Linked DNA regions of Stegostoma tigrinum. The protein of the gene in region 1 interacts with the protein of each later gene in a pairwise test. Links are inferred from orthologs where the notes say so. Each region holds a gene or a part of one and is shown in the gene's direction. Other genes may lie near its edges.

Evidence for each region.
Region 2: the proteins of hspb11 (region 1) and ift27 interact in binary tests that used the Homo sapiens proteins (3 or more experiments, as listed by UniProt). The two-hybrid records come from large-scale screens. The link is inferred for Stegostoma tigrinum from reciprocal best matches to the Homo sapiens genes IFT25 and IFT27.

The regions. Positions count from the first base shown.
Region 1 is NC_081361.1:41,474,489-41,486,587, forward strand, and holds the start of hspb11 (intraflagellar transport protein 25 homolog), read left to right. Parts: upstream 1-6,024; 5' UTR 6,025-6,066; coding exon 6,067-6,161; intron 6,162-7,191; coding exon 7,192-7,298; intron 7,299-7,636; coding exon 7,637-7,705; intron 7,706-7,819; coding exon 7,820-7,863; intron 7,864-10,626; coding exon 10,627-10,734; 3' UTR 10,735-12,099. UniProt on the Homo sapiens protein: Component of the IFT complex B required for sonic hedgehog/SHH signaling.
Region 2 is NC_081391.1:24,534,212-24,547,346, reverse strand, and holds the start of ift27 (intraflagellar transport protein 27 homolog), read left to right. Parts: upstream 1-7,762; 5' UTR 7,763-7,883; coding exon 7,884-7,917; intron 7,918-13,135. Other genes in the region: large ribosomal subunit protein uL3, read left to right, coding at 42-210, 461-596, 1,149-1,335, 1,625-1,785, 3,462-3,563, 3,656-3,751, 4,333-4,452, 4,625-4,669. UniProt on the Homo sapiens protein: Small GTPase-like component of the intraflagellar transport (IFT) complex B that promotes the exit of the BBSome complex from cilia via its interaction with ARL6. Not involved in entry of the BBSome complex into cilium. Prevents aggregation of GTP-free ARL6.

The DNA.
Region 1 (12,099 bases):
TGGGCTTTTATCTCATAGAGTCACAGAGTCATAGAGTCATACAGCACAGAAATAGACTCTTCAGTCCATCCTGTCCTTGCTGACCAGGTTCCTCATTATGGCTTTCCAAACTTAAACTAGTCCCATTTGCCAACATTTGGCCCATATCCCTCTAAAACCTTCCTAATCATGTACCTGTCCAAATGTCTTTAAAATGTGCATCTACCACATCTTCTGGCAGTTCATTTCACTCACAAACTACCCTCAGTGTGAAAAGGTTGTCCCTCAGGTCCCTTTGAAATCTTCCCCTCACAACTTCAACCTATGCCTTCTAGTTTTGGACTCCCTACCCTAGGGAAAGGCATTATAAAAGATTTTATATACCTCTGTAAAGTGGCCCCTCAGCTTCCTCTGCTCCAGTGAAAGAAGTCCCAGCCTGTCCAGCCTCTCCTTATAACTCAAATCCTCCAATCCCAGTAACATCCTTGTAAATCTTTTCTGCACTCTTTACAGTTTATTAACATAATTCTTTACAGCATGACACCCTGAATTGTATGTAGTACTCCAAAAGTGGCCTCACCAATGTCCTGCACAGCCACATGACATCCCAACTCCTACGGAGGCATGGGATTGAGAGTGATTTAGCGGTTTGGATCAGAAATTGGCTAGCTGTAAGTAGACAGTGGGTGGTGGTTGTTGGGAAATGTCCATCGTGGAGTTCAGTTACTAGTGGTGAACCGCAAGGATCTGCTTTGGGGCCACTCTTGTCATTTTTATAAATGACCTGGATGAGGGCGCAGAGGATGGGTTAGTAAATTTGCAGATGACACTAAAGTCGGTGGAGTTGTGGATAGTGTGTAAGGATGTTGCAGGTTACACAGGGACATAAGCTGCAGGGCTGGGCTAAGAAGTGGCAAATGGAGTTTAATGCAGAAAGGTGCGAGGTGATGCACTTTGGAAGGAGTAACAGAAATACAGAGTACTGGGCTAATGGTAAGATTCTTGGTAGTGTGGATGAGCAGAGAGATCTCGGTGTCCATGTGTATAGATCCCTGAAAGTCGCCACCCAGGGTGATAGGGTTGTTAAGAAGGCGTACGGTGTGTTAGATTTTATTGGTAGAGGGATTGAGTTTCAGAGCCACGAGGTCACGTTGCAGGTGTACAAAACTCTGGTGCGGCCACACTTGGAGTATTGTGTACTGGTCGCTGCATTATAGGAAGGATGTGGAAGCATTAGAAAGGGTGTACAGGAGGTTTACCAGGAAATTGCCTGGTAATGGAGGGAAGGTCTTATGAGGAAAGGCTGAGGGGCTTGAGGCTGTTTTCGTTAGAGAGAAGAAGGTTAAGAGGTGACTTAATAGAGACATACAAGATGATCAGAGGATTAGATAGGGTCGACAGTGAGAGCCTTTTTCCCCCGGATGGCGACGGCTAGCACGAGGGGACATAGCTTTAAATTGACGAGTGATAGATATGGGACAGATGTCAGAGGTAGGTGCTTTACTCAGAGAGTAATAAGGGCGTGGAATGCCCTGCCTGCAACAGTAGTAGACTTGCCAACTTTAAGGGTATTTAAATGGACATTGGATTAACACATGGATGATAACGGAATAGTGTAGGTTAGATGGGCTTCAAATTGTTGCACCGACCTGTGAAACCATCGAGGGCCGAAGGGCCTGTACTGCGCTGTAATGTTCTATGTTCTTGCCTTCATTGGTCAGACCCTTGAGTAAAGTGTGCCAATGTCTTCATCACCACCAAGTCTACCTGTGACACCACTTTCAAAGAACTATGTACTTGAACGCCTAGGTCTCTCTATTCATCAGTCCTCCCCAGGGCCCTACCATTAACAGTTTAAGTCCTTCCCCAGACGGTCTTACCGAAATGCAACACCTATCTAAATTAAACTTCATTCGCCACTCCTTGGCCCATGGACCCATCTGATCAAGATCCTGTTGTACCCTGAGATTACCTCTTTCACTGCTCAGTATTCCACCAATTTTGGTGTCGTCTACAAACTAACTAACCTTGCCTCCTATATTCTCATGTAGATCATTGTACAAAAAGGACAAACAATAGTGGGCCTAGTATTGATCCTTGCAGAACACCGCTAGTTAAAGGCCTCCAGTCTCCGAAACAATCCTTCACCACTACTCTCCGTCTCCCACTGGCAAACCAACTTGTATCTAATTGGCTATATCTCCCTGGATCCCATCCAATCTAACTTTATTAACCAGTCTATCATGTAGAACTTTGACAAATGCCTTGCTAAAGTCCACGTAGACAACATCCACTACTCTGCCTTCATCTATCCTCTTGGTCATGTCCTCAAAAAGCTCAGTTTTGTCAGACACAATTTCCCATGCACAAAGCCATGCTGGCTATCCCTAATCAGAGGCAGCTTGTCAAAGGCCTATTGATCCAAATAGCTCATGTCCATTGGCTCTCCTTTGTCAAACTTGCTCATTAGTTCTGCAAAGAGATTTGTCAGGCATGACCTCCCCTTAAGGAAGCCATGCTGACTCAGCACTTCCAAGTACACTCAATCTCATCCATAACAACGGGCTCTATAATCTTAAAAAAACGACTGAGGTCAGACTAATCGGCATATAGTTTCCAGTCTTCTGCCTCCCTCCCCTCTTAAACAGGGTGTTATATTAATCATTTTCCACTCCTCTGGCACCCTCCCTGACTCCAATGATTCCTGAAAGATCACCACGAATGCTTTGGTCCAGGTGATTAATCCACCTTCAGGCCTTCCTACATCTCCAGCATCACTTTTCAGTGGTCCAACGTCCATTCTTGCCTCTCTCTCTTAGCTACATATATCTAAAAAAAACTCTTGCAATCTTCCTTTATATTACTAGTTAGTTTACACTCATATTTCATCCACCCGCTTTTTTAGTTATACTCTGCTGGTTTTAAAGACTTCCCAGGATAATCTTCACCCATTGTATATTACTTCATTTGCTTTTATGCTGTCCCTGACTTCTCGTCAGCCATGGTTGCTTCGTAATCCCCTTTGTATGTTTCTTTTTTCTAGTGGGCTCTACCACAAGCTGCTCCAACAAAAACACCTCGTAGACATTCTGCAAATTCCTTTTCTTGAGATCCACTACCTATCTGATTTTCCCAGTCCACCTGCATACTGTAGTCCCCCATGATTATTATAAAAAAAGTAATTTTCTTACATGCATTTTCTATCTCCTAGTTTATTTTCTTCCCCATATCCTAACTACTGCTAGGACATAACTCCTATTTGGGTCTTATTTCCTTTGCAGTTCTAACCACACAGATTCTACACATTTCAACTCTTTCTTACTTCTTGCTATCAATTTAATTTGACTTCTCACTAACACGGCAACGCTGCCCCTTCTGTCCATTTGCCTGTCCTTTCAATAGGACATGTTTCCTCAGATGTTTAGTTCCCAGCCCTGATCCCCTTGCAGCCATGTCTCTGTGATGCCCACTACAATGCACCCATCAATTTCAGTCTGCACTACAAACTCATTTATCTTGTTTCATATATAGCGTTTATTGAAGTATGACACCTTCGGTCCTGTGTCGACTGCCCCCTTCTCATGGCTGTCTCCTTATCTGCTGTGCCTGAAGTTAGATTTTTAACATGTTCCATACTCTCTCCTTTTACTTGTTCTGAAAATTTTACTAACCTCTGCTGAGTCCTCCCTGCTTTTAACTTTTTCCATGCAACTGAACCCACCCTCCTAATAATTAGTTTAAAGCGCTGTCCACAGCCCTAGTTATGTGATTCTCCAGGGCTCTGATCCCAGCATAATTCAGGTGGGAGTCCATTCCATTGGAACAGCTCCCTCCTTCTCCAGTACTGGTGCCAAAGTCCTATGAATTCAAACCCGTTTCTCCTATACACCCAATCTTTGAGCTACGTGTTTACTTCTTTAATCTTGCTCACCCTATGCCTATTCCCTTGTGGCTCAGATAGAAATCAGAGATTAACTTTTGGTTCTACTTTCTAATTGAGCCCTTAAGCTGTTCATATTACCTCAGCAGAACGTCTTTCCTCTTTCTACCTATATGGACCATGACAACTGGATCTTTCCCTCCCACTCCAAGTTCCTCTCCAGCCAGATGAGATACCCGGAACCCAGCCAAGTAACATAACATTCAGGACTCTTGATCCTGAAAACACAGAAATGGCTATTCCTCTGGCTATACTACTCTTGATTACAACTACTTTTCTTTCTTCTCCCCCCTCTGGAATGGCTTCCTGTACCACTTTGGTCAGTTTGCTCATCCGCCCTACAGCCCCCACTCTCATTACACAGGGAGCAAGAATCTCAAACCTGTTAGATAAGCTCAAGGGCTGGTATCTCCAGCCTACCTCCTGGATTCCTCTACATGCCTCACTTGTCATCACGTCACCCTGTTCTTGACCGAATTTGAGGTAGTTAATCTAAGGGGCGTGACTGCCTTCTGAAACAGTGTCCAGGTAAATCTACCCTCCATGATGAGTTGCAGAGTACAAAGTTCAGATTCCAGCTCATCAAAAAGAAAAAGGGCTTGCACTTGGGGAGAGCAGATTTTAGTAAAATAAGGCAAGATATGGCCAAGGTAGGCTGGGAACAACTACTATTGGGGCACGGGGGGACATGCACAGGAGATTCATCAAAGTGCTGCCTGGGATGTAAAATTTAAGTTTGAGGAAAGGTTTGATAGGCTTGCATTGCTTTCACTGGAGCAGAGAAGACTGAAAGGTGGTCTGATTGAGGTCTACATAATTATGAGGGGCATGGACAGAATGGATAAGGAGTAGCGATTCCCCTCAGTTAAAAGGTCAGTGACAAGGGTATACAGGCTGAAGGTGAGGAGGAGGTTCGGTGGAGAGTGCAAATGAAAGGAAAAACTTTTTTGGCAACAGTGTGTAATATGCTGCCTGGGTTAGTAGTAGAAGTATGGTGTCTCAAATTCTTTAAAAAGTACTTGGATGAGCACTTAACAGGTCATAGCATTCAAGGTCACGGTCAAGAGCTCATCAATGGGATTAAGTTGAAGATCAGGTGTTTCTCATGTTTCGGTGCAGACTCAATAGGCCGAAGGGCCTCTTCTGCACGGTATGATTCTATGATGTTAACTCTGAGCCACAGTTCCTCAAGCGACCAACACTTGCTAGAGATGTGGTCACCATGAACCATTATAAAACATAAATTTCCAAAACCAGACATCAAAATTTGTAATGATAATGTTGGATTTAGACAAACCCATTTGAGAAGTTTAGGTCACCATGCAAAACAAAGAAAAAAACACTAACCTTTAAATGTATTCTATTGTAATCATCTAGTGTCTTTTTTCAGGGTCAAATTACCCCCTGAAGACATAGTTTTTTACAAGACAGTCAAAACAAACGCTTTCATCAGAAAACAAACTGTATTCCACCAACATTAATTTAAATGTCACATATTACCCATCTCTAATGGAACTAGAGTGGCGTGTTGCTTCATGTGCATAATCTCAGTTATTTCTCTTACCTACAATCAATTACATGATAGAACAACATACTAACATCCTTAAATTTCTTACTGCTTAAAATTCATATCAAGCTAATTTTAAACTTAACCACTAAAGTATCTCCAGTGTTGAAAAAAAACACTCATATCTCCTTGGGAGAGGGACAGGCAATACAAAATCCGGATGAGTCCAAAAACAATTCATTCAGCAACTCACTAGGACAATAGAGTCAGGCTCTTCTATCCTAGATTAATATCTCTCCCAGCTCTCACAAGTGGCTGCAAATGTCACATCCTGAAAATGAGGGCTGGGGAGGAAACACTTTCCCTTAAACTTCTGCCCACTTATTCCACCGAGTCCAACACTTACCCTGGCTGGTCACTGCTAGTGCCTGGCTGTAGCCACAAGGATTCCCAAATGAGCTGTAAAACTCACCAAACTACTAAACCTCCTGTTTCCCAGGAGGGGAGCACGGAACCATAACGCAGAAAATTGAGGGAAGGTGATTATGGGAAGGACCGGAAGTCACCGCCGGTCACGGGGGGAGTATATGTGAAGGACCGGAAGTGGCGGGTTGCTGTAGTAACGGCCGGGGAGGTTGACATGAAGCGGGATTTCGGTTTGACGGTGGCGGGGACGCAGGTTGTGTTGGCGGCGTCTTCAGATGAGAAACACCCGCCGGAGAACATCCTGGACGGGTGAGGATCTTCAGCTTGTCCGTGCGGTTGGCGAACAGGATCGTCCCCTTAGATAACACAGCATTGCGTTGATATAGCGCCTGGCGCGTGCCCTACACCTTGAGAATTTCTAAGTACCCATTGCCCTGCGAGAAATCCTATCAAAGTTGGCTGTTCGTCAGCTTTTTATTTTAGTTATGAAATGGTTGCGTCGACAGTCTGATGCTATTACTTCAGCTCCATGCCCGGATTATGCAGTAAAATGCCTCAATTCTTTGCAGAACCAGTGTCGGGTGGTAGAGGTGGAATTCTCGGCAGAAAGGTAGTTAGATCTATCAGTGAGACTTCTTTCACGGTCAAAAGCGAACACCCCTGCTTTGGTAGAGGTTGCAATATAGCCTAGTGATAAAAAGACCTTTTATTTATATGATAACAGTATGGAGCTGGAGGAACGCGGCAGGCCCAGCAGCATTAGAGGAGCAGGAAAGTTGACGTTTCGGCTCGGGACCTTTCTTCAACACTTTTCACAACCACCAGCTTTCTCAAAGTGTTTTCCAGCTAACTAAGTCCATTGAAGTGTAGTTACAGTTGTAATTCAACATTTAACAGCAGCTAATTGTACGCATTGCAAGGTCCCACAGACAGAAATAACCACAGATTATCTGCGGTTTTGAGAGTGCTAAGTATTGGACAAGATAACTAGGTATAATATTCCGGCTTTTCAAATGCAAGTGTCTCCCCTCCCACTCTGATTAAAGGGAGATTGCACCCAAATGAAAAATGTAGCAAATTTTATCCCAAGAATTGCCAGATTATAGTCCAGAAACTTTGACTGTTTTCCTTTTCTCTTACCCACTATCCAATGCTTGGGATTGTTTTATCAAATTCAAGGTGCTCTATGAATGCAAGTCATTTTCATCTAGGCTCGGCACGAAGAACAGTCACCTGCTAGAACTGGCTATCTATGATACTAATGAGACACAGATTAGAAAAAAAGATGAAAATTCAATAAACAAAAATACCAAGTCTCATACTGTACTTCTGTTCACAGTAATACAGAATCATTTTGGATTACAACAGGAATGTTCCCACAAGAATTTATCCTAAGTTTTGCTAATCTTATAAAAATTAGCTCAATGAAAATTCACTGTTACAATGGTAAGATTTTTGCTGCTTTTTAATTACTATATTTGAATATACTAATGATTTACTATGATAAACAAGCTACTTTACCTCGTTCCATATGGATCAAAGAATAAAGTGCAATGAACAGTAGTTCTTAATTATTCATGATCTTTACCAAGCTTTTATGCATGACTTTGCAAATACCTATTCAGTTTTGAGAGGAGTATATTTCTAGCTATATTTCAGTGTAAATGCATGAGTAAACATTGAACTATCTTGCAAAATTCATGAGAATAAAGTAAGACACCATCTACTCAAAATAATTGTAAATGTTCCAAAAGTAATAAGTTTTTCTTGGTTTACCATTCCAGTGCGTAACCTTGGTATTGAGAGAAGTATAGCAAGAGATCCTGTAGATTTTGAACCATTGAGTAACAATGGTAAGTGTACTCAACAAATATTTTGATAATATTGCCAAGATTGTTGTTGAAAATAGTTGCTTCCGTTCCATTTCTTTTGATGGTTTTCATCCTGTTGTGCTTACTTTTTACCAGAACTTGAGCGCTCTGAGGAACAGCTTCAAGTAAAGGAATTTACAGTAAGTAAATTCTACAAAAAGCTGAGGTAACATATTAGGTATGAAATCATTATAGGTCAGTTCCTCCCCAAAGTAGTATTGAATAGTGTTGTAGCGGTTTGATTTCCCCATTTCTACTGAAGTTTTTGATCTCTATGGTGCTGTTGCAGCAAGCTTCTGAGCGAAGGACAATCACTTTCCCAAGTTGGAAAATGAGGCCAATTCAAATAATGTACACGTACACATTATTAAATTTAACTAAGTGGTTCAAAATAATATTCATTATTTTGGGAATGCAAGGTGCACTGTGACCTAGTTTGCTAAGTAAAATAACATAACAATTCAAGGGTCAAAAAAGGGTAGAGACTTTAATGAATTATAAATACTAGCATGGACTGGGTTGACCAAATGGTCTGTTTCTTGCTGTATTGCTAACATTAATGCCACTCAAATAAAAGGCAATGACTTTCTCCAGCTGGAAATAATCTAACCATCGTCCCTTCACATACAGTGGCATTACTTTGGCTTCACATTGGGATTACCCATCATCGTGTTATGCGGCATTATCACAATGCCAAAATGGGATAGACTTAAACAGACCTAGCAACTCAAGTTTGGCTATTCATAAGGTGCTATGGGCATCACAGCAGCAGAATCTCCAACATAATCTGCAACCACATGACCCAGCATACCCCCATTCAGTTATTACCATCAAGACAGGCGATCAACTCTGGTTCAATGGAGTGTGCAGGAGCAGCACCAGCCATACCTAAAAATAAGTTGTCAACTTGGTGAAACTAAGTAGGGCTACCAAACGGCATAAACAGCAAGTTGTAGGCAGCAAAACTATCCCACAATCAACTGATGAGATCTAAGCTCCACTGTCCTGCAACATCCAATCATCAGTGGACAATTAAACAACTCATCGGAGGAGTCATCTCCAGAAACATTCCCATCCTCAATGATGGCAGAGTTGAGCACATCAGTACAAACAGTAGGGTAGAAGCATTTGCAGTAATCTTCAACCAGAAATATTGAGTGGATGATCCATTGTGGCCTCCTCCAGTGGTCCCACATCACAGATGCCAGCCTTCAGCCAAAGAAATGTTTGAAGACATTGGATACGGCTAAGATTCCAGGCCCAGACAACACTTTGGCAATAGTATTGAAGAATACAAAACTTGCCGTACCATAGCTAAGCTGTTTCGGTTCAGCTACAACACCGGCATTTCCCCAACTGTTTGGAAAATTGCCCAGATATGTTCTGTACATAAAAAGTAGGATAAATCTGACCTGGTCATTTTCCAGCCCATCAATCTATTCTCGATCATTAGTAAAGTGATGGAAGGTGTCATCAACAGAGCTATCAAGCAGCACCTGCTAAGCAATAATCTGCTCAGTGACGCCCAGTTTGGGTTCTGTCAGGGCCAGTCAGCTGTTGATCTCATTACAGCCTTGGTTCAAACGTGGTCAAAAGAGCAGATTTCTAGAGGTGAGATGAGAGTGACCTCAAGACTGCATTTGACGGTGTGGCATCGAGGAGCCCTAGCAAAACTGGAATCCATGGTAATCGGAAGTATGAAGGCAGCTCACCATACCTTCTCACGCACAACCAGGGATGGGTAATGAATGATGGCCAGCCAGCAACACCTACGACCTACGAATGACTAAAATAAATCCCCTGCTTCCAACATTGTGAAGTTGCCATTGACTGGAAACTGAACTGGACTAGTCGCATTAAACTGTGAGTACAAAAGGAAGTCTGAGGTTAAGAATGTGACAGGTAAATGACCCCAAACTCCCCAAAATCTGTGCACGATCTATGAGGCACAAATCATGTGATGGAATACTCCACTTGCCTAGATGTGTGCAGCGCGAATAACTCTCAAGAATTTCTTCCCAGGATAAAATATCCAGCCTGTTTGGCATCCTATCCACCAACTTACTTATACACTGCCTCTCTTACTGATGCAGAGTGTTAGCAGTGTGTGCTTTCCATAAGGTGCGCTGCACCACTCACCAAGGTTCTTTTTACAGCACCTACCAAACCTGCAACTTCGAGCACTTATGCCATGGAGAGCAAACATGTGGGAGCACCACCACCTGCAAATTCTCCTTCAAATCATAACTAACCTGACTTGGAACTAACATTGCCATTCCTTCATTATTGTACATCTCAATCTTAGTACTCCCTTCCCGCTGTGTCTACCTAGCCCCATGGACTGCAGTGATTCAAGACAGCTGTCATACTTTAAAGGGCAAGTAGATGGGGACAATAGATGTTTATTTTTAAATTCATTCTTGAGATATGAACATCATTGACTAGGCCAGTATTTTTTGCCTATTCCTAATTACCCAGAGGGCATTTAAGTAATATCCACATATTACTGTGGATCCAAAGTCACTTGTGGACAAGACCAGATAAGGGCAGCAGATTGTCATCTCTCAGGGTCATTAAAGAACCAGATGGCTGTTGTCAATTGACAGTGATTCCATGGTCAGCATTAGGCTAGCTTTTTATTGAATTTAAACTTCATCTGACAAGGTGGGTTTCAAATCCATATCCCCAGAATATTAAGCCTGGTTTAGGAGTCCAGTGATGTTACCACTCTCCCACAGCCTCCCCTCAAAGGCAGTTTAGTCAGTAATGCCCAAATTCTGTAAATCAGATAAGAAATCACATTATATGATGATATACATCTTGAAAATTGTGTTCTGAGTTGGGCATGCACTAACCTTTTCAAAAAAAAAAGTGTGAATTAATAAATTATATTCTCTATATAGCAGGATGAAACTAGAGCTACACATCTACGATTTATCATAAAGTCTGGTTTTGATCACTTTGTGTCAGTACACAAGGTTACAGTGGAAGGTACAGAGGAAGATGCCTGAGTCTACACTGCACAACTCTTGCTAACAGGACTTGATGGAACATTGATGTTGAGAAAATCTAACTAGTGTACATCCATCTACAGTATATTTATTATAAACCATAATTAGTGGATTGTTATTGTGAATAAATTATTTTGGTTTTGTAATACTGTGCAGTCTTCATTGGTAATTCCTGAAAGTACTCTTGATTAACATCTGAATGAACCATGAGAACTAGTACAAGATCTTCCTGTTTCACTATTGAAGGATTTTTATCTGACATGTCACTTCTGGATCCACCATCAGTATGTGCACTGTACTTTATTACTGTCCACTCTCTTATCATTCTGCCATTCCATGGCCGTTATTTATTGGTCAGCCAGAGGTTTGAACCAATATTTAAATCTTTAGAATAAAGGCATGTCAATAGTTTCTTTACACATGGAATGCACTGCCAGCAGTGGTAGTAGAGTCAGATGCATTAGGGACATGTAAGCGGCTCTTGGATTGGAACATGGATGGTAGAAAAATGAAGGGTGTGTGGGTTAATTTTGATTTGAGGAGGATAATAGGTGAGCACAACATCGTGGGCCGAAGAGTCTGCACTGTACTGTTCTGTTCTATATTCTAGTTATAACTTGGAATCAATGTGGAGCATTAACTGTAACAAATATTCCACTCCCTTAGAGGTAAATAGAGTTCTTCCACGTAAGGCAATAAAAACACATTCAAAAACACTTGGATTGTAATTATTTAATAGTACTGATTGTAAAACTTCATCTTACTGAGTTACGTGCTCTTAGCTACATTTCAGAACATCAGTCCACAGCTTTCTCTGGGTTTTGACTGTAAGCTTCATAAACAATGTAGCTAAAATCATTGTACTTACAGTGAGTAACTATATGCTTTAGGTCTTGACAAACAGAGTTTAAAATGACAAATATTAAGTGCGCATGATTTTCATGCTGGAAAGTTGAAAAGCAGAGTATCAATACTTCAAATCTTAAGAATTCATTTACTTTGTTTAAAATTCTAAGCAGCATTGTCAATATTCTATAAATATGTCTTTTCCAACTGTAGGCATTAGTTATCAGTGAAATTGGTGGCACCACAATTACTAAATGCTGGTCAAGGAGCTAATATTTTCAGAGGAAAGATGGACGATATTTTAACCACTAAAGTAAAACCTCTATTATAAAAAGAAAACAAAAGGTGATAACTACTCAGTCCTGAATGAGCAATGGCACGCTAATAAAATATCTAACTTTCCCAAGCTGTTTGATCTGATTTAATTCCTGATAACAAGTAAATATGATTATTTAATTTTTTCTGTAATATTAACCAACTGTAATTTTGCTTTTTGCATTGTACAGGGTTGGTCAACTT
Region 2 (13,135 bases), on another chromosome or scaffold:
GGTTTTTTGTCAGAATGTTAATTTTTTTCTGAATTTCCTAGAGGTGAACAAGAAGGAGGTGGTCGAAGCAGTCACTGTAATTGAAACTCCTCCAATGGTAATTGTTGGTCTTGTTGGCTACATTGAGACTCCCCGTGGTCTCCGAACCTTTAAGACCGTCTTTGCTGAGCACATCAGTGATGAATGCAAGCGTCGATTCTACAAGAATTGGTAAATATGTCACATAATTCCCAAATCTTACAGTTCATAAAGATGATGCGGAAAGGTGTTAATCTGGATTGAATAATCAGCAGCTCCGCTCGACTATGGCAACATAGGTCGATGAGCTCCAGGCTCTGAATGTTGGAGGAAAGTGTCCTTTTGATCCCAACAATGAGCCGACCTGCTTGGTGCTGATTCCTTCCGCTCACAATTGTGTGATGAAGGGTTGCGCCAATGTTCTCTTCTCTCTATATAAAAGGTACAAATCCAAGAAGAAGGCTTTCACCAAGTACTGCAAGAAATGGCAGGATGAAGATGGCAAGAAACAATTGGAGAAGGACTTCAACAGCATGAAGAAATACTGCCAAGTTATTCGCATCATTGCTCACACACAGGTAAGCACCAAAGCTGAATTTGAAAGGAGGCTTGGGTACGGAAGCTTCTGTTTGCGATTTCTGGCTTGCTACCTTTTTGTTTGTTTTGGATTTTAATACCTGTTAAATTACTTCGGGATACTCAAACTTTTGTTTCACAAAATCTTAATAATAAGGCCACTTGATTTAGTGTTTTTTTAAAAAAATTTAATCCCCATGTCATGTCTTCAGGGGACAAGCCAAGACCATAAGTTTGTGTCAGGTTTTGTGGATGGTGTAGAGTGTTGTTTCAGCCCTCTAATTCTGGGAGAGTTGCATATCTATTCATAGGAATGGTTATAGTGAAACATTCCAACCTGCTTCACAGAAGTCTCCTGTAAACGTATTTGACACCAAGCCATTCCTAAAGAAATATTAGGGTGAGTGGAGGTGATTTTGAAGGCCGTCAGTTTATTTTAGGCAAGCAAAGATGTGCTGGTAGTGGTGGAGCAAATTGACTTGATTAACAGAGGGAAATATCCCACTCATGTTGGCTTGTTCTGATTTGTTCATTGGAATGCTTCATCTCCACAGATGCGCCTGCTTCCCTTGCGTCAGAAGAAGTCCCACATCATGGAGATCCAGCTGAACGGTGGGACAATTGCTGAGAAAGTTGATTGGGCAAGAGAGAAACTGGAACAGCAGGTTTCTGTTAACCTGGTGTTTGGTCAGGATGAGATGATAGATGTCATTGGTGTTACTAAAGGCCATGGCTTCAAAGGTATGGAATCTGTGAATCAGCTGCTTAGTTGGATGGGTCTCAAATGATTGTATTTTGTTTATGTGCATAGGTAATATGCCTTTTTAATGACACTTTTGTTGACCATTGTCACACTTCACTGTTGGAGCATTCTGTGATGATAACATGGAATATATGTTGGTAACAGCATCTGACTCTGATGAGGAGCCATTCCATGCTGCCTTCCTTCTGAGATCTCTGTTTCAGGAGTAAATGAAGAATTGTCAACATCTTGGGTATTCACTAATTGGTCTGTTCTCTGCCTCCCCAGGGGTCACCAGTCGTTGGCACACAAAGAAACTGCCAAGGAAAACTCACAAGGGGCTGCGTAAAGTTGCCTGTATTGGAGCTTGGCATCCTGCCCGTGTAGCTTTCTCTGTTGCTCGTGCAGGTCAGAAGGGATACCATCACCGTACAGAGATCAACAAGAAGGTAAGCACTTTAAAGTCAGTGGGTGTGGAATCACAATTGTCTAGATTGGATCAGAATGGCTGTTGCCCCTCCCTAAAGGATGCTAGCTGGGTCTCCAGTCCAAGTTTATTCTTAATGTGCATTTCTGAATTCACAATGTACAGGAGCAGAATTGGGCTGTTTTGAGTCAGCTCTACCATTTGATCATGGCTGATATGTTACTCAGTCCCACTTTCCTGCCTTCTCCCTGTAACCTTGATCCACTTAGTAATCAATAACCTATCTATCTGCCTTTTAAAGACACTCAATGACTTGGTCTTCATAGCCCTCTGCAGCAATGAGCTCCACAGATGAAATATCCTGCATCTGAATAAGTTCCTCCTCTCCTCAGAACCTAAAATAGCACAGCACAAGAATGGGTCCTTCAACTCTCAATGTTGTGCCAAACATGCCAAATTAAACAAGTGCCTTTTCCCTGCTCTTGGTCCTGTAACTCTCTGTTCCTTTCATTTTCATGTATTTATCTTAAGAGTTTCTTAAATGACCCTATCATATCTGCCTCCACCACCATCCCTGGCAGTACATTCCACACTCATACCACTCTTGTCTGTCTTTTTAAAAGACAACATACCTGTCATCTCTTTTTGAACTTTGCATTTAAAAGGCAAGAGGGGCATTGGCTCTAGCATTAGACATTTTGAAGTCTTGCGAGGGAAAATGGTACGTACTGACAATCAACCCTATCTCTGCATCTCATAATTTTATAGACTTCTGTCAAGTCTCCCTTCAGTTTTTCTAGCCTCCTTGTAGTTCAAACCCTCCAATCCAGGCAGTAACCTGGCAAACCTTCTGAAACCGTGCCAAAGCTTCAACGTCGCTATTGTCATGTGGTGAGAATTGAATGCAATAACATTTTTGGTTCAGTGACACTTACTATAAAGCTGTAACATGGCATTCTAACTGGTACTCAAGTTTCCTGGCTAGTAAAGGCAAGCATGCCATATGCCTTTACCACCCTATTTTACTTGTGTGGTCACTTCCAGCGAGCTAGGGACTTGAACCCCAAGATTCCTCTGTCTTAGTTCTCAAGAGTTGCCTTCACGCTTAAGGTTGTGCCCCTGGGTCCTAGTCTCCTACTAGTGAAAACATTGCCATATCCACTCTATCCAGGCCTGGTATTCTGTTTGTTTCAATCAGACTCCCCCTCATCCTTGTAAACTCCCAAGTACAAACCCAGTGTTCTCAATTGTTCCTCATGACAAGCCCTTCATTCCTTAGATCATGGACCCACTCCAAGGTCAGCACATCCTTCCTTTGGATATGGGGCCTAAAACTACTCAGTGTTCCAAATGTGGTCTGGCCAGAGCTGCCTTCAATGTCAGGCGTACATACATGCTGTTGTATTCTAGGCCACTGTAAATGAATGATAACACTGCTTTTACCTTCCTAACTGCCAGCTGAACCTGTCTCTTAACCTGAAGAGAATCCTGAGCAAGAGCCAAAGCTGGGGTTCCAGGTTTCTTTGCAAATGGTGCTGTTTTTTTTTTTGGTCAGAATGACTGACCTCTCAATCCTTAATTACAGTACATTCTCAAAATTGCTTTGCCTGAAATAGAAATTCTCACACCTTGTCTCTGAATGCGTTTTACCAGGTTTCCTTAAAATGTGAACTAAAACTCAATTCTTTACCTTTTTAGATCTACAGGATTGGATCTGGTTACCAGACCAAGGATGGCAAGCTGGTGAAGAACAATGCTGCTACAGAGTATGACTTGACAGACAAGAGCATCAACCCACTAGTGCGTTTTTAGCAAGCTATAAATGACATTCCAAATTGTAGTTCATGTCATTCTAAGACTGTTGTGCTAACTGCTGTTTTCAATCTCATCAGGGAGGATTTCCTCACTATGGTGAAGTTACCAATGATTTTGTAATGGTGAAGGGCTGTGTTGTTGGTACCAAGAAACGTGTGCTTACGCTGCGTAAGGTAACTACTTGTTATCTTAATATGAATACATAGTCAATCTTCCCCCCTCGGTTAAAGATTGTAGCTGCCCTTGAGCATTTTCAGCTTTCCCCATAGATGGCCAATACTCTGCATCATTAACTTACCATGAGAAATGGGAGTAGGAATACACCTGTCAAATCTACTGTAGAGTTCACTGACAAATGTTGATCTTTAGATTTGACTGCACCTTTCTGCCAACTCTCCATATCCTTTTGGTTGTCAGAGACAAAACAAACTTGCCATTGAATATAATTTAGTGGTACCCCTGGGATGCTGAGTAGCTCTGCAGGTAAAAGCAACACTACTAGGCCCATAGTGGCTTGTTCCTAGGTAATAGTGTGCATACTGCCATTCAGTCTCTGATCAAGATGCTCTGTAGATGCATGATTGTGACAAAGGCATGGCTAATGTATATCCATCTCTGGTCTCCAGGTGAGATGCTATTCCTGTTCTAAGTTGGTGTGCAGACAGCCCATGTTTCTGTCTCCTCCACCCACCCCACCCATAGTTTTAAGCTGGTTGTGGTACAGAATATTAAACTGTAATGTTCAACCCTGCAGTCCCTATTGGTGCAGACAAACCGCCGTGCTGTGGAGAAGATCGACCTGAAGTTTATTGATACCTCTTCCAAATTTGGTCATGGCCGCTTCCAGACCCTTGAGGAGAAGAAGGCATTTATGGTGAGTGATAAATTAATCAGTGCAACTTTCCTGTGGTGTGCCTTCAGATTTTGTAAATTGACTTGCACAAGACTTAAGAACTGTTTTGTAGTTGCAATGAACACATGTTGGGGTTTTTGTTTGAAACTGCCTTGCCCAGCTCTTTTTGATATTGGTATTGTTTTGTTTTCAGGGACCACTGAAGAAGGATCGCATTGCCAAGGAAGAGGCTGCATAAACCATGGACCAATTATAACATTGTTCCAGTGTTCAATAAATACCTTTTTTAAAGAAAAGACCATTTTGGTGTTCTGTGTTCCTACAGTCCTGTATGGCAGTCAGGATGTGATTTGGTTAAATTCTGTGCTACTTTATTGACACTACTGCTGTGGCTTCTGTTTCCCTTCCCATAGTTATCAGACTAATACCTTGACTCGGTGGGTTGTGTTGAGGCATGGTTGGATTACCTGTGGGGTGTTTAATAAAGTGACTGGATTTGAAACAATCCTGACATCCCTTGATGGAGTTGATGTGGCAATGGGTTTTTTCTCTCTGGGAAAGATCTAGAACTAGGGGTTTGCCAGTTTAAAAAGGTGAGGCAGTATCTATCTTGAGGGTTGTGTATTTTGAACTCTCCCTGAAGATGTGATGGAACTAGAGTTCATCGAATATTTTGAGGCAGAAGTAATTCTTCAAGCAAGGCAGTGAGAGGTTCAGCAGGAATGAAGGTTTGAGATTGTAATCAGCTGTGAACTTAGTCCCTTGGACCTGCTTTGCATTCTATGTTCATATGTCTAAAAGCGCACAGCGTACAAGCTGAGAGTTTGCTTCTGTTATCCTTTACCTGCATGTAGGCTTTATTAGCTTTGCAGACTACGGGGCTGAGGCACTGCCAATGGAAAGGAAAGGGGTCATCTGGATAGTAGAGATATTGGCAAGGTAGGGTGCAGGGTTTAAACCCTAAGTTGAGGCCTTGAAGTAACTTCTAATCAGGGCATTGCTTGACACAAAGCCAGCACAGGCCAATGATACCATAAGTTGGTATATGGGATCTTTGCCCAAACAATGCCATCTGCTACTAGCTCACTGAGACAGGATGCATGAGCCAAAATAAGCCACTTGGCCCGTTGACTCTGCCATTCAACTTGATCATGGCTGATCTGATAACTGTCCCATTTCCTGACCTATCCCCATAACCTTTCATTCACTTAATGTTTAGAAATCTGCCCACCTCATCCTTCAACATTGTTGCCAACATAGCCTTGAGCCCTCTGCAGTAAAGGGGTCTCCAAACTAAATACCCTTCAGGTGGGATGGGCAGAGAAAATCATCCTCTGGTCTTTGGGTGTCACGTCCTGATCTTTGCTTCTCACTGGTGAAATAACCTTTCTGTATCTACTTGGTCAAGTATCTTTAAGAAACAAGCCTTTCAGCAGTAAGATCACTTCATTCTCATGATATTGGTACGTGCTCAACTTGCCCCTCCAGACAAGTCTCTCCATACCTGGAATCAACAAAGTGAACCTTTTCTGGACTGTCTCCAATGCCTGGTATACATTGGATAAAGGGACTAAAATTTGTCACCTGTGGTCTGATCATTGCCCTTGGTGTAGTTTAACTAGATACCTTTTTTCCTTTTAAAAATAAATGGGCATTCTCTTTGCTTTCCCTACATGCCAGCTTTTTGTGATTCAAATCAAATGTGAACAATGTTGGTGTTATGATGCCTTGTGATACTATGAAGACCTTTTTTAAAATCTACATCTTTGACAGGTCACCCGAAGCTTATGTCATGGTCATTTTTGTTTGTAGTTCTGTTAGCTAACTAAACATCCCAAAGTACTATGTAAATGTTACATAATGCATTTGTCACAAGTTGAGATAACACTGGAGCTGGCTGAACACAGCAGGCCAAGCAGCATCAGAGGAGCAGGAAAGCTTGACGTTTTGGGTTGGGACCCTCCTTCAGTCCCGACCCGAAACATCAAGCTTTTCTGCACCTCTGCTGCTTGGCCTGCTGTGTTCATCCAGCTTCAGTGTTATCTCAGATTCTTCAGCATTGGCAGTTCCTATTATCTGTCACAAGGTGAACTTGGGGTTTGGGGAATTCACTAGATTTGTTATTAGAACATAGAACATAGAACAGTACAGCACAGAACAGGCCCTTCAGCCCACAATGTTGTGCCGACCATTGATCCTCATGTATGCACCCTCAAATTTCTGTGACCATATACATGTCCAGCAGTCTCTTAAATGACCCCAATGACCTTGCTTCCACAACTGCTGCTGGCAACACATTCCATGCTCTCACAACTCTCTGTGTAAAGAACCTGCCTAAACGGTGAAAACTTGTTTTGCATGCTATCCAGGTGAATCATACTTGGACATGAGTAATTGTAGGATGAAGCACATAGCTGATTTTTAAAACATGAGAAATGATATCTCTTTTGAAGAGTGGTGAATACTGAGATATTGAGTAAATTTGATGAAATACTTTGGTAATGGGTTGACAGGTCGGGGGAAATGGAGTCAAGATAGACCAGCGGTGATCACAGTGCAGGCCTGGGACTGAGAGCCTAGGTCTGCTCTGAGTTCTCAATTTGTAATTATTGCAGGAGTATTTTACTCCAACAGAGATTTAGAACTTCCCAGCATGGAAGCTATAAAATATCTGAAAGTAATAAAAAATAAATTGCTGGGCTCTAGACTGGCAACTGTCCTTCCCCTCACTGATGCTGCCATACGTTCTCCAGCATAAAATGTGAGGCTGGATGAACACAGCAGGCCAAGCAGCATCTCAGGAGCACAAAAGCTGACGTTTGGGGCCTAGACCCTTCATCAGAGAGGCTTCTAAGATGCAGCTTGGCCTGCTGTGTTCGTCCAGCTCCACACCAGCAGCTGCAGTTCCTATTATCTCTGAACACATTCTCCAGAACTTTGTTTTTGTTTCACAGCATCCATACTTCTGTTTTATATACTTAAGTTTTTTTTTGCTATCTGAGAAAAGAATATTCTCGTAGGTTCACCTATTTATCCGTTTCCCAAAAAAAGTTTTTAAAACCTGGCATTGTTATCACAACCTCAAGATACTGTAAACACGTGGATATGCTGAGCTCCTCGCTTAACGTCACAGATATCCAATCACTTTGGACGGCAGTATGACGGACGGCCTCTAGACCAATTACAGCGTGAGGACACCTGATTGGCATCCCAGACGCTCAATCATGTAGCAGAGGGTTGCGACGGACGGCGAGTTGGCCAATTAATATCGGGTACACCGCCCACGGGGCCGGGACCAATGAGAGGAGGCGAGAGGAAGTTGCTAGGGCGGTGTAACCAAGGAGGCCTGATGGCGGTTTGCGGCCTAAAGTGAGGCCTGGAGTAGGAGCCTCCAGGTTTATTGTCGATGGAATGAACCGGTTCATGGGCTTCCGAACCGAGCAGGAGGAGACATGGTGAAACTACGAGCTAAATGTGTGCTCGCAGGTGAGTGAAGGGTGCTGGCAGGACATTACATTTTAGAAGCGCCGACCCCGTCCCTGAGTGGCTCCGGTGCCAGAGCGAGCGATTAGTCACAAATTGTGTTAATCCCAGGGCAGCGGTTAAACAGCGAACAACAAAATCACAACTTGGCCTGTGTGTGATATCAGCGCTCCCTCAGTAATGACCCTCCGACAGTGCCCACTCCCTCAGCACTGACCCTCCGACAGTGCCCACTCCCTCAGGACTGACCCTCCGACAGTGCCCACTCCCTCAGTAATGACCCTCCGACAGTGCCCGCTCCCTCAGTAATGACCCTCCGACAGGGCCCACTCCCTCAGTAATGACCCTCCGACAGTGCCCGCTCCCTCAGCACTGACCCTCCGACAGGGCCCACTCCCTCAGTAATGACACTCCGACAGGGCCCACTCCCTCAGTAATGACCCTCCGACAGGGCCCACTCCCTCAGTAATGACCCTCCGACAGGGCCCACTCCCTCAGTAATGACCCTCCGACAGCGCCCGCTCCCTCAGTAATGACCCTCCGACAGGGCCCACTCCCTCAGCACTGACCCTCCGACAGGGCCCACTCCCTCAGCACTGACCCTCCGACAGGGCCCACTCCCTCAGTAATGACCCTCCGACAGTGCCCGCTCCCTCAGCACTGACCCTCCGACAGGGCCCACTCCCTCAGTAATGACACTCCGACAGGGCCCACTCCCTCAGTAATGACCCTCCGACAGGGCCCACTCCCTCAGTAATGACCCTCCGACAGGGCCCACTCCCTCAGTAATGACCCTCCGACAGGGCCCACTCCCTCAGTAATGACCCTCCGACAGCGCCCGCTCCCTCAGTAATGACCCTCCGACAGGGCCCACTCCCTCAGTAATGACCCTCCGACAGGGCCCACTCCCTCAGTAATGACCCTCCGACAGGGCCCACTCCCTCAGTAATGACCCTCCGACAGGGCCCACTCCCTCAGTAATGACCCTCCGACAGGGCCCACTCCCTCAGTAATGACCCTCCGACAGGGCCCACTCCCTCAGTAATGACCCTCCGACAGGGCCCACTCCCTCAGTAATGACCCTCCGACAGGGCCCACTCCCTCAGTAATGACCCTCCGACAGGGCCCACTCCCTCAGTAATGACCCTCCGACAGGGCCCGCTCCCTCAGTAATGACCCTCCGACAGGGCCCGCTCCCTCAGTAATGACCCTCCGACAGGGCCCGCTCCCTCAGTAATGACCCTCCGACAGTGCCCGCTCCCTCAGCACTGACCCTCCGACAGTGCCCGCTCCCTCAGCACTGACCCTCCGACAGTGCCCGCTCCCTCAGCACTGACCCTCCGACAGTGCCCGCTCCCTCAGCACTGACCCTCCGACAGTGCCCGCTCCCTCAGCACTGACCCTCCGACAGTGCCCGCTCCCTCAGCACTGACCCTCCGACAGTGCCCACTCCCTCAGTAATGACCCTCCGACAGTGCCCGCTCCCTCAGCACTGACCCTCCGACAGTGCCCACTCCCTCAGCACTGACCCTCCGACAGTGCGGCACTCCCTCAGCACTGACCCTCCGACAGTGCCCACTCCCTCAGCACTGACCCTCCGACAGTGCGGCGCTCCCTCAGCACTGACACTCCGACAGTGCCCACTCCCTCAGCACTGACCCTCCGACAGTGCCCACTCCCTCAGCACTGACCCTCCGACAGTGCCCACTCCCTCAGCACTGACCCTCCGACAGTGCCCACTCCCTCAGCACTGACCCTCCGACAGTGCCCACTCCCTCAGCACTGACCCTCCGACAGTGCCCGCTCCCTCAGCACTGATACTCCGACAGTGCCCGCTCCTTCAGCATTGACCCTCCGACAGTGCCCACTCCCTCAGCACTGACCCTCCGACAGTGCCCGCTCCCTCAGCACTGACCCTCCGACAGTGCCCACTCCCTCAGCACTGACCCTCCGACAGTGCCCACTCCCTCAGCACTGACCCTCCGACAGTGCCCACTCCCTCAGCACTGACCCTCCGACAGTGCCCGCTCCCTCAGCACTGATACTCCGACAGTGCCCGCTCCTTCAGCATTGACCCTCCGACAGTGCCCACTCCCTCAGCACTGACCCTCCGACAGTGCCCGCTCCCTCAGCACTGACCCTCCGACAGTGCCCGCTCCCTCAGCACTGACCCTCCGACAGTGCCCGCTCCCTCAGGACTGACCCTCCGACAGGGCCCGCTCCCTCAGCACTGACCCTCCGACAGGGCCCGCTCCCTCAGGACTGACCCTCCGACAGGGCCCGCTCCCTCAGCACTGACCCTCCGACAGTGTGGCACTCCCTCAGCACTGACCCTCTGACAGTGCCCACACCCTCAGCACTGACCCTCCGACAGTGCCCGCTCCCTCAGCACTGACCCTCCGACAGCGCCCGCTCCCTCAGTAATGACCCTCCGACAGTGCCCACTCCCTCAGCACTGACCCTCCGACAGTGCCCACTCCCTCAGTAATGACCCTCCGACAGTGCCCACTCCCTCAGCACTGACCCTCCGACAGTGCCCACTCCCTCAGCACTGACCCTCCGACAGTGCCCACTCCCTCAGCACTGACCCTCCGACAGTGCGGCACTCCCTCAGCACTGACCCTCCGACAGTGCCCACTCCCTCAGCACTGACCCTCCGACAGTGCGGCGCTCCCTCAGCACTGACCCTCCGACAGTGCCCACTCCCTCAGCACTGACCCTCCGACAGTGCCCACTCCCTCAGCACTGACCCTCCGACAGTGCCCACTCCCTCAGCACTGACCCTCCGACAGTGCCCTCTCCCTCAGCACTGACCCTCCGACAGTGCCCTCTCCCTCAGCACTGACCCTCCGACAGTGCCCACTCCCTCAGCACTGATACTCCGACAGTGCCCGCTCCTTCAGCATTGACCCTCCGACAGTGCCCACTCCCTCAGCACTGACCCTCCGACAGTGCCCGCTCCCTCAGCACTGACCCTCCGACAGTGCCCACTCCCTCAGGACTGACCCTCCGACAGTGCCCGCTCCCTCAGCACTGACCCTCCGACAGGGCCCGCTCCCTCAGGACTGACCCTCCGACAGAGCCCACTCCCTCAGCACTGACCCTCCGACAGTGTGGCACTCCCTCAGCACTGACCCTCTGACAGTGCCCACACCCTCAGCACTGACCCTCCGACAGCGCCCACTCCCTCAGCACTGACCCTCCGACAGCGCCCGCTCCCTCAGTAATGACCCTCCGACAGTGCCCACTCCCTCAGCACTGACCCTCCGACAGTGCCCACTCCCTCAGTAATGACCCTCCGACAGTGCCCACTCCCTCAGCACTGACCCTCCGACAGTGCCCACTCCCTCAGCACTGACCCTCCGACAGTGCCCACTCCCTCAGCACTGACCCTCCGACAGTGCCCACTCCCTCAGCACTGACCCTCCGACAGTGCCCGCTCCTTCAGCACTGACCCTCCGACAGTGCCCGCTCCCTCAGCACTGACCCTCCCACAGTGCGGCACTCCCTCAGCACTGACCCTCCCACAGTGCGGCACTCCCTCAGCACTGACCCTCCGACAGTGCGGCACTCCCTCAGCACTGACCCTCCGACAGTGCCCGCTCCCTCAGCACTGACCCTCCGACAGTGCCCGCTCCCTCAGCACTGACCCTCCGACAGTGCCCACTCCCTCAGGACTGACCCTCCGACAGTGCCCGCTCCCTCAGCACTGACCCTCCGACAGGGCCCGCTCCCTCAGGACTGACCCTCCGACAGAGCCCACTCCCTCAGCACTGACCCTCCGACAGTGTGGCACTCCCTCAGCACTGACCCTCTGACAGTGCCCACACCCTCAGCACTGACCCTCCGACAGTGCCCACTCCCTCAGCACTGACCCTCCGACAGTGCCCACTCCCTCAGCACTGACCCTCCGACAGTGCCCACTCCCTCAGCACTGACCCTCCGACAGTGCCCACTCCCTCAGCACTGACCCTCCGACAGTGCGGCACTCCCTCAGCACTGACCCTCCCACAGTGCGGCACTCCCTCAGCACTGACCCTCCGACAGTGCGGCACTCCCTCAGCACTGACCCTCCGACAGTGCCCGCTCCCTCAGCACTGACCCTCCGACAGTGCCCGCTCCCTCAGCACTGACCCTCCGACAGTGCCCACTCCCTCAGCACTGACCCTCCGACAGTGCCCGCTCCCTCAGCACTGACCCTCCGACAGGGCCCGCTCCCTCAGGGCTGACCCTCCGACAGAGCCCACTCCCTCAGCACTGACCCTCCGACAGTGTGGCACTCCCTCAGCACTGACCCTCTGACAGTGCCCACACCCTCAGCACTGACCCTCCGACAGTGCCCACTCCCTCAGCACTGACCCTCCGACAGTGCCCACTCCCTCAGCACTGACCCTCCGACAGTGCCCACTCCCTCAGCACTGACCCTCCGACAGTGCCCACTCCCTCAGCACTGACCCTCCGACAGTGCGGCACTCCCTCAGCACTGACCCTCCCACAGTGCGGCACTCCCTCAGCACTGACCCTCCGACAGTGCGGCACTCCCTCAGCACTGACCCTCCGACAGTGCCCACTCCCTCAGCACTGACCCTCCGACAGCGCCCGCTCCCTCAGCACTGACCCTCCGACAGCGCCCACTCCCTCAGCACTGACCCTCCGACAGTGCCCACTCCCTCAGCACTGACCCTCCGACAGTGCCCACTCCCTCAGCACTGACCCTCCGACAGTGCCCACTCCCTCAGCACTGACCCTCCGACAGTGCGGCACTCCCTCAGCACTGACCCTCCGACAGTGCCCACTCCCTCAGCACTGACCCTCCGACAGTGCGGCGCTCCCTCAGCACTGACCCTCCGACAGTGCGGCGCTCCCTCAGCACTGACCCTCCGACAGTGCCCACTCCCTCAGCACTGACCCTCCGACAGTGCCCACTCCCTCAGCACTGACCCTCCGACAGGGCCCGCTCCCTCAGCACTGACCCTCCGACAGTGCGGCGCTCCCTCAGCACTGACCCTCCGACAGTGCCCACTCCCTCAGCACTGACCCTCCGACAGTGCCCACTCCCTCAGCACTGACCCTCCGACAGTGCCCGCTCCCTCAGCACTGACCCTCCGACAGGGCCCGCTCCCTCCGCACTGACCCTCCGACAGAGCCCGCTCCCTCAGCACTGACCCTCCGACAGGGCCCGCTCCCTCAGCACTGACCCTCCGACAGTGCCCGCTCCCTC